2 linked regions of the Nothobranchius furzeri genome follow. The protein of the gene in region 2 interacts with the protein of the main gene of each other region in a biochemical or structural test. Links are inferred from orthologs where the notes say so. Each region holds a gene or a part of one and is shown on either strand. Other genes may lie near its edges. The genes, in order: arf6b and htr2aa.

Region 1 (4,099 bases), on a different chromosome or scaffold from region 2:
CGTGTGCTACTGCTGCTATTCTACTGTACTTGAGCTGTTGCAATAACACAATTTCCCCATTGAGGCACAAATAAAAGGTATTATCTTATCTTAATGAATTGAAGCGGATTCAGAGAGATAAGTTCAGGACGTCACAACTTCCTGCTAGCATCGATATGGCTCAAAACCAACATGCAGCATTCAAATCCAGTCCCCATCAGCTGTTTTTCAGCGCTGCCCTTTCAGTCGACATGTGGCTTTGCTCCAAGACAAGGCCGAGGCTGGACTTCCTGTTTGGGACATTTTCCCCGTCCACTGGCAAAAGGAGCTGAGGCCAGCTTTTAGACTCAAAAGTTGACTAAAAACTGATTTATCAGCTACAAGCTAAAGTGGATTCATCTTTAATTCCTGATGAAATACAATAAAACAGACATTAATTATTTAAAATTGTTTTTTTAATAATACATTACAATGACATTGTTCTGTGTACAGTTCCCCAGTCAAAACAGGAGTAAGCGCTGCACCCCAGAGTGTCGACCTCACCAGATAACGGCTCTCCCTGACTGCACCGACAGATGGACTCTGATGTAGGTAGGGTTAATGTACTTGATGTACTCATGCTACAGATATAGGCTATCATATAATGTCCCAATCACTGAGACTAACCAACCGTGAGATCAGGTTGCGATTTCAGAGCTGAATGACATTCCTTTGGAAAGATTGAGCCAACTACCCTCATTTAAAAAATGCACTTCCACAAGCATGTTTCTGTTACTGGTGGCCTATTTGTTTAATACTCAGCACAATTAGATATCAAGACATGACACAAAATGGTCAATCAGTTAACTGGATAGCCCACTTAAAAAGTTCAGAGGGGGTAACAAAACGTGTTTTTTCTTTGATGACTAATGACTGAAAAGTCGTTTTTTTCTCTCCAGATTTCACCCCCTCCTGTTTTTTGCCACAGTACTGTTAACAAAACTTCCCAAGTCCTTCGAGTAGGCTACACGACATTAAAGCGCTGACTGTTGAAGAAAAATAAGTGATCCGACTTGAACAAAGACATAACAGCTTCAGAAAATGAAGATTAAAAACTTAGAATAATATAAACTATATAAAACAGGAAGAAAATAGGCAAATGTGGTGATCTCTATAGCTTTAAACCTTAGGACCAATTGTTTCAATATTCAAGCAAGCCCCATTAATAACTGTAATTCAGGCCTGCTGCAGAACACAAGCAAACTTTAAGCCAGCAAACCCAGCTAAAGATAAATTAGTCAAGGGATAAACAAAATAAATGAAGATTATCAATTTTTCTTAACCGTACACATTTTTTGAGAAATTGTTACTTTTTTTGGATGCTTTGACCTAAAACAGTCAGCACTCATTAAGATTTGTAATTTGAGGTTAGCCACGTCAGCCCCTCATACAGTCCATCGCCCGTGGTTGCACAGGAGGGCTGAACGTACCAATTCCGATCTCTGATGCGGGTCAAACCCAGCTTCTCTTGGATTTCATGTGGCTTCATGGCGTCTGGAAGGTCTTGCTTATTGGCAAATATCAAGATGATGGCATCTCTCATCTCCCGGTCGTTAATGATGCGGTGAAGTTCTTGTCTCGCTTCGTCTATGCGATCCCTGTCTGCGCAATCCACTACAAAAATTAAGCCCTGGGTGCCTGTGTAGTAGTGTCGCCACAGCGGACGGATCTTGTCCTGGCCTCCGACATCCCAGACATTGAACTTGACGTTTTTGTAAGTGACTGTTTCCACATTGAAGCCAACTGTAGGGATTGTGGTCACAGACTGTCCCAGTTTCAGTTTGTAAAGGATTGTTGTTTTCCCAGCAGCATCCAGTCCAAGCATCAATATTCTCATCTCCTTGTTGCCAAAGATCTTTGAGAGCATTTTCCCCATTTTGAACTCTTGGGCATAAATATTTTGTTCCAAAGGGGAAAAAAAAAGTCTGATAATGTATTTGTAGGTGTTTGATTTCAGTATTGGTGAAAGCGTGAATAAAAAAAAAGGGATATTTGGGCCAAAAATCAAAAACACATATTCAAACCTAAAAAGGATTACTATAGTTTTCCGGGAAGCCTGTCAGGATCCTTTTGAGCGCAAAAACATTAAAGTTCAGATGATCAAACCTCTGCGTGAGCCTACAAACAGCATGACACAGTGGGACTAGGAACTTGGCAGCAGCAGTTGCAGGCTAGTCATTGTCTTTAAAACTAAACAAAAATAAAGTTATTTGGGACAAACACTGGCCGTGGGACAGAGATATTCAGCGTGTGTTAAGAGGCCCTCCAAAAAAGCCGCGATGCTGAAGGTGATTTTCTCCTGGTGTTAGTTGTATGAGGCGGTTCTCCTCACCGGGTGCGCCCTTGTTCAGTACACTGCTGCCTGGGGAGAAACTGCCGCTATATGCGGCTTCTTCAAAGGAGGTCGCGACGGGCGGTCACACCGCGCTCAAAGGGACGATTACGGTAGAAACAAATCCCAGTGACTCGGTTAGAAAAGGCCCACTCAGGAAACTCTGGTCGCACTGAAAAGAGATTTAGGGGGAGGGTCAGACATGAAAAATTAGCCAGCTATCGCTCGTGGCTGTTAGTCAGCTAGCATTAGCTAAGCTAACTAGCGATAGCCAGTTAGCTGCAGTAAACTACTGAAATGAAAACATCAAAACACGCATCGGTGACACATTGCCCAGTATACAGTTGCATATTTCATACTGGTTTGTGCAAAGGTACGGTATTTACCCGTTTATTTCCCTCCAGACTCGATAAATTTACTCAGCTCTTGTCTTCCTTCTTTAACTGGAGCTGGCCGCACTCCTGCTACACCGGAAAGGTGTGGAACTGCATCAACAGCCACTTCCTCTCGTCTGCTCCATTAAACTGGTTCCGTCTTTTGGCAGGCCGTTGTATAACATAATCAAACTGCACACATTTTAACTTGCTTTCATCTTCACCTGTCAGCAAAACAAACAAATAAACAAATAAATAAATTCTCAACTGCGAGTGGGAAAATGTTATATAGCAATCAATTATTTTCTTTGCTTTGGCTTTCGTTAAACATTTATTGGTTAGACAGGAACCAAAACGTAATTTATTCTAGTTCAGTAATTAAAAAAATGTTTTCCACGAATTCACAGTCAATAGATGTTGGATGCCATCTTAGGTCGTTTGTATTATATTCATTAGCTCTCGAGCAAATTAAACCAAGAGCAACAATTGTGAGGCTATAATTAAATCAACTTACATTTCAGATATTTACAAATATACGTATTTTTTTATTTGCCCTTTATTGTCTAATTCAAACTGTATTAAAAATAAATGTAAAGAATTTATTAGATGGTAGAAAAATGGTAGACAATTTGTTTTCTATTGCTAAATGTTTTAATTTGGAAAAGTTATATCTTCATGGAAAACTTCATGTATGGTAAGACAACTAGACAACTAGTTATTTCTTCCTCGTCTAATTCACATTTTTGATTGCAATAACAATATTACTCAAAATGAACATATTCTTAGGACAAAGTTTGTCATTACCTTCATTCCCACAGCTCAGTTCTCTTAACCTCAAAATCTAGACCAACCAAAGAAGCAGCAAAAATAATTTGATTCCAGGTTAGTATAGAAACACTCCATTGTAGCCTCAGCAGGTCTACCACTGGCCCGAACACTTTTGTATCTTGTCAATCACAACACTCTATGTTTGTTGTGCGGGCTTAGCGCCAGAGCTGTGACAAAGAAAATTTACAAAGATGGTGTTGGCTCTTGGACTGAACCTGGTTTTGTAATAATCTACTGAGGTTTTTATAAACACCTTTAAATCAAATGGAACAGATGTGTATTATCTACAGATTGAACTCCAAAACACAACACGAAAAATAATCTTGAATAAGCAAAATAATTTTTTTTATTCTAATAAAAAAAACGAATTATCACAAGAATAAAAAAAACACTAATTCAGACATGGATTCCTTTGACAAAAAATGGGAAAGACGCACTTGTTGTCCTATACAGCTGAAAACCTTACCCACATGAAACATTTTTGATGTATGCACATTTTTCACTTAGACCAGGAAACATTGATTCAAATTATCTGGAAGTATTAACC
Region 2 (4,268 bases):
GCTGCAAACATGTTTCAAGACCAGAAGACCTTTTGTCTCTCATTACTCACCCATTCTTTATGTCTTGGTGAGAAACATATAAGAACACTTGACTTCCTTCTACAACACACCTTCAGTTTCAGGGAGTCAGACTTCAGATCTGTCGACACAGCGCTGAGAAAACCTGTGCTTCCTTTTCCTCCTGATATAATCTTGCTCCAAATGATTTGAAGCCAAAGGGCTGAGGCAGTACAAGGCTAGTCCTGAAGAAGGATCAGAGGCTCTCCTGGTGTTGAAACTGTTCCAGTTGCAGGTGGGATTTCCTCTTTGTAGAACCAGGCTGGAACAATTCCAAATCCATGTCACATCTCTGTGAGCTCTTGGTCAAATCAGTGCTTTTCTTTACACAAGCGTGCGCAAACAACCCTTGGGTTCATATAACCATTTAAACACGAAGATACAGCAAAACATATGATGCAAATATCCTTTGGTTGTTTATAAATAAGTAATTACCTGTTGTAGCAGCAAGTGTTACACAACAGTAAAGTGCAGAGTAGAGCAGAGCCTGCCTCCCTTTCAGTCACACTAGTCGATGTGAGCATGTGCTGCGTGACTCTTAGAAAGCTGTGTGTGCTCTTTCAAAGTAGAAACATGTGTTATTAATGCAGAGAATCTGTGTCACATCTCGGATGTTATTACATTTCTTACAGACACATAGACATATATGCATGGTTTCAGGGCAAACATGGAAGCTGAACACTCTCATTTGCGCTGAGGGTCCTACTTACAGAGGTCTTTGAGATGATGGGGAGGAGAGCGGGTGTTCACAAGAGCAGAACCTGCAGGGGACTAATGGAAACTCTTTCTGTTGCAATCCCATCTGAGTAATGATAGGCTTTGCCATTTTCTTTTTCCAGTAAAGCAGCATGCCACACAAACAGTCAACAACAGGACTGGCCACCTCCATCACTGCTGCTCCCCATCTGTCCTCCACCACCGCCGTCATGCATGCATTCTGACTCGACTGTTCGGACGGAGGTTAGGCTTCACCACAGAGATAAACACAGACCCAGTGATGTAAACAGAAAATACACTGTTAGACTGGGGAGTGAGGAAAGCCCTCAACATGCAGGAACTTTGTTTACCTCCAAACAATCAATCAAAAACAGTGGGAAGTCCGTTGGAACCGCCCAACAAGCAACACACCAAATTTTAACCAAAGGAAACCCAATGCAAGTGGCACTTACCATAGAGAATGGTCACCATGGAAACGGGCATGACCAAGATGCCTAGGAGCATATCAGCCACTGCCAGTGACATCAGAAAATAGTTAGTTGCATTTTGCAGCTTTTTCTCTAGAGAAACGGCCAGGATCACCAGGATATTTCCCATGACCGTGACGGCAACGACGGCCAGGATCAGCAGGGCCGCCCAGTTCTTCTCCACCGGCGGCTCGAAGCCAGCACACTGAGGCCCGAAGTGTCCTCCCAGGCTGCTGTGTGACTGAGTGTTAACGACAGCGTGGGCCACGTCGCTCTCGTGACATCCAGAGTTTGTTGCATTACCGGGTCGATTTGAAGGCCTGGGGTTAGACTCCGAGGTGGTAACGGTCCTGATGGTGTTGAAGATCAGCTCTGACACGTTAGCTCCACGTAAGTTCATGGTGTCGGCTCACAACCTCGGGATGTCTGCCAGATTCACCAGTAGGAGGGAGGAAAGGAAATTCTCATTTTAGATTCTTTTTTCCAGAAAAATAAAACAAATATTCCAGAGGCGTACAACATGTCTGTCATTTAATCCAGCGCCTCAAATGTCTCGTGTGATCAGCAGATGATTCTCCAAAGGAAAACTAGAATAGGAAGAATTATAAGGATAATAATACAGATAGAAAAGTGCTCCGGTTACTAAAAAAATATCCAAATGTTGATCTGATCGTGACTGACGTCTGCAAGAAAAGAAACGACTCTTCTGATTCTGGGATTTGTTTGAGAGCTGAAAGATGTCAGTCACGGTTTCCTGATCCTGGAAGTCTGGGCTTTTCAAACCGTCACCCATGGTAAAACAATGATGTCCATGTGAAAGGTCAGGAATCCAGATCCCGCTTCCAGCAGCTTCCCGGTGAGGTGATTTCTTTACATGTTTGCGTTACAGAAGTCCTGATAAAGTATACTTCAGTAATGCCTTTACAGGTGTAGGTCCGAGGTGTGTGCTGTTAGACGAGCAGGTGAACTCTGGGGCGTCCTTACCCTCTCATATCAACTTATGTCGACACCTGTGAGTGTGTGTGAGGATGACGGTGATGGATGGCGAGCGTGATCAAACTTGACACACGTTTGTCCATGTGTCACTAACGTTGCCATCCTTTGTCCCCTCACACACTTCCTGTGGACCAAACCCTCCAGAGGTGATACATGTTCTAGTTTGTCTTCCTCCTGCTGACATTCAGTCTGTGGTGGAAAATGTCAGCCACTCTTCAGCCGAGTCTTCCAAAGATCCGAGTGTTCTGTCATTCTTTCACATGGTGTGTACCTCCAGGTCTTGACTTTTCAAAAATCAAAGAAAAACAGGAATGAGGAACGAGAGAAGAGCCCTCTCTTCTCTGGGACCGATCAGCAGACTGAAGAGGTTTCCAGTTCTTCACAAGTGTCAGCTTGTTAGTCGTCTTTAGCGGTGACCAGGAGCTGAAGCTTCTCCGCTTTGCCTCTCGTCACGCTGCTTTTCACAGGCAGCCTCTCTTCCTCTCTGTGGGGATCTCCTGCTCTCTCTCACTCTGTTTCTACTCAAGGTCTCTCTCCCTTCTATCGTATTGGCTGGCTCTCTCTCTCTCTCTTTCTGTCAAGTCTCTCTTGCTCTCGCTCTCATTCTGTAAATCTCATCGCTCCGTTCAAATTTAGATCTGAAGGCTTCACTGGGATTATCAGATCTAAATACACAATGACTAAAGCTGTTTGTAAATCCTGACTCTTGAAATTCTAGTAAAAAAATCCCTTTTAGTCATGAAATGAGATGAAGACGACTCAGCTGCCCCAATGAGGCAAGAGACTTGAGCATTTGCATGTTTTAAGCAAGCAGTGGTCCCTGGTGAGACTGTTTAAGGTTTCTCTCAAAGCTGACTGGTGACTAAACGTCACTTTAGAAGGAAACTTATCCCAGTCTTCCGTCCAAGCCAGCTGTGGGAACTAAAATGGTAAATGGCCTGTATTCGTGTAGCACCTTCTTAGGGTTCTACAACCCCCAAGGTGCTTCACAATACAATCATCCATCACACACACATTCACATGCTGGTGATGATGAGCTACAACGTAGCCACAGCTGCCCTGGGGCGCACTGACAGAAGTGGGACGGTCGTACACAGGTGCCACCGGTCCCTCCAAACTCCACCAGCAGGTTAAGTGTCTTGCCCAAGGACACAACAGCAGCATTCTCAGGTGGGAGCTGGGATGGAACCTGCTGGACAACCCACTCTACCTACTGAGCTACTAAGTGGGTTTGTTCTGTGAATCACTCATGTTTCTAATCTTTTCATGACATTTAAGTTGCATTCAGGGTAAGAAGGTTTGTCTCTTCTTTGTTGTAAATGTGCAGTGGTGTCTGGACATGGATCCAGTCCCAGAAACAGCTCAGCATTCCGAGTTTTCCCTCCAGGAACAGAAGGAGACGTTTCTGATTGTTGAGAGATTTCAGTTAACCCTTCAAAGGGCACTCGTTGATAGGTTAAAATCTCAGCCGCAGGGTGTTATTGTGGTTTATAATGTAATGATTTAAATGACATGTTATTTAATAAGCCATAAGGCGTAGAATTCCATAGGAAATATGAAATCCACCTTACGGATCTGTGAGGTTATTTTTAACCAGAAGATTGAAACTTTTTAATGCAGAGATTAGATAACAGCTTCGTATTCACTCAGAGAATACAGAGGAGAGAGTCGAGTTTAAAAGTTAAGAATTTTATTACTTACAATGAAAACTAGACTAACTTTAAACACTACATGTATGGTGTAACTAAGGTGGATGTGACGGTGAATGGGGTGATGTGGAATGTTGTTCAGAACCAGCAAATCCGAAGAAGCGATTAGTTCTCATGGGAACTGAAGGTGATGTCTTTGCGTTAAGCTTTGGTTGGGAGATTCATAAACACATTCAACGCCATTTGCCGGTCTACTTACCCTGGTGGAAGTCCCCGTCTCGATCAGGAATGTCGAGGTCCAGCTTGACCTTTTCTGGAACCGAGCTGGTAGGAAAAGCAGCGGTTGCCGATCAGTCCAGTCTGTGAGATACTTCCGGGTCAC

What was found.
Region 1: the proteins of htr2aa (region 2) and arf6b form a complex in vitro, tested with the Homo sapiens proteins (2 studies listed by BioGRID). The link is inferred for Nothobranchius furzeri from reciprocal best matches to the Homo sapiens genes HTR2A and ARF6.

The regions. Positions count from the first base shown.
Region 1 is NC_091758.1:32,007,352-32,011,450, reverse strand, and holds arf6b (ADP-ribosylation factor 6b), read right to left. Parts: upstream 2,859-4,099; 5' UTR 2,737-2,858; intron 2,523-2,736; 5' UTR 1,895-2,522; coding exon 1,367-1,894; 3' UTR 745-1,366; downstream 1-744. UniProt on the Homo sapiens protein: GTP-binding protein involved in protein trafficking that regulates endocytic recycling and cytoskeleton remodeling. GTP-bound form plays an important role in the transport of multiple palmitoylated proteins form the Golgi to the plasma membrane.
Region 2 is NC_091754.1:35,558,497-35,562,764, forward strand, and holds the start of htr2aa (5-hydroxytryptamine receptor 2A), read right to left. Parts: upstream 2,932-4,268; 5' UTR 1,642-2,931; coding exon 1,227-1,641; intron 1-1,226. UniProt on the Homo sapiens protein: G-protein coupled receptor for 5-hydroxytryptamine (serotonin).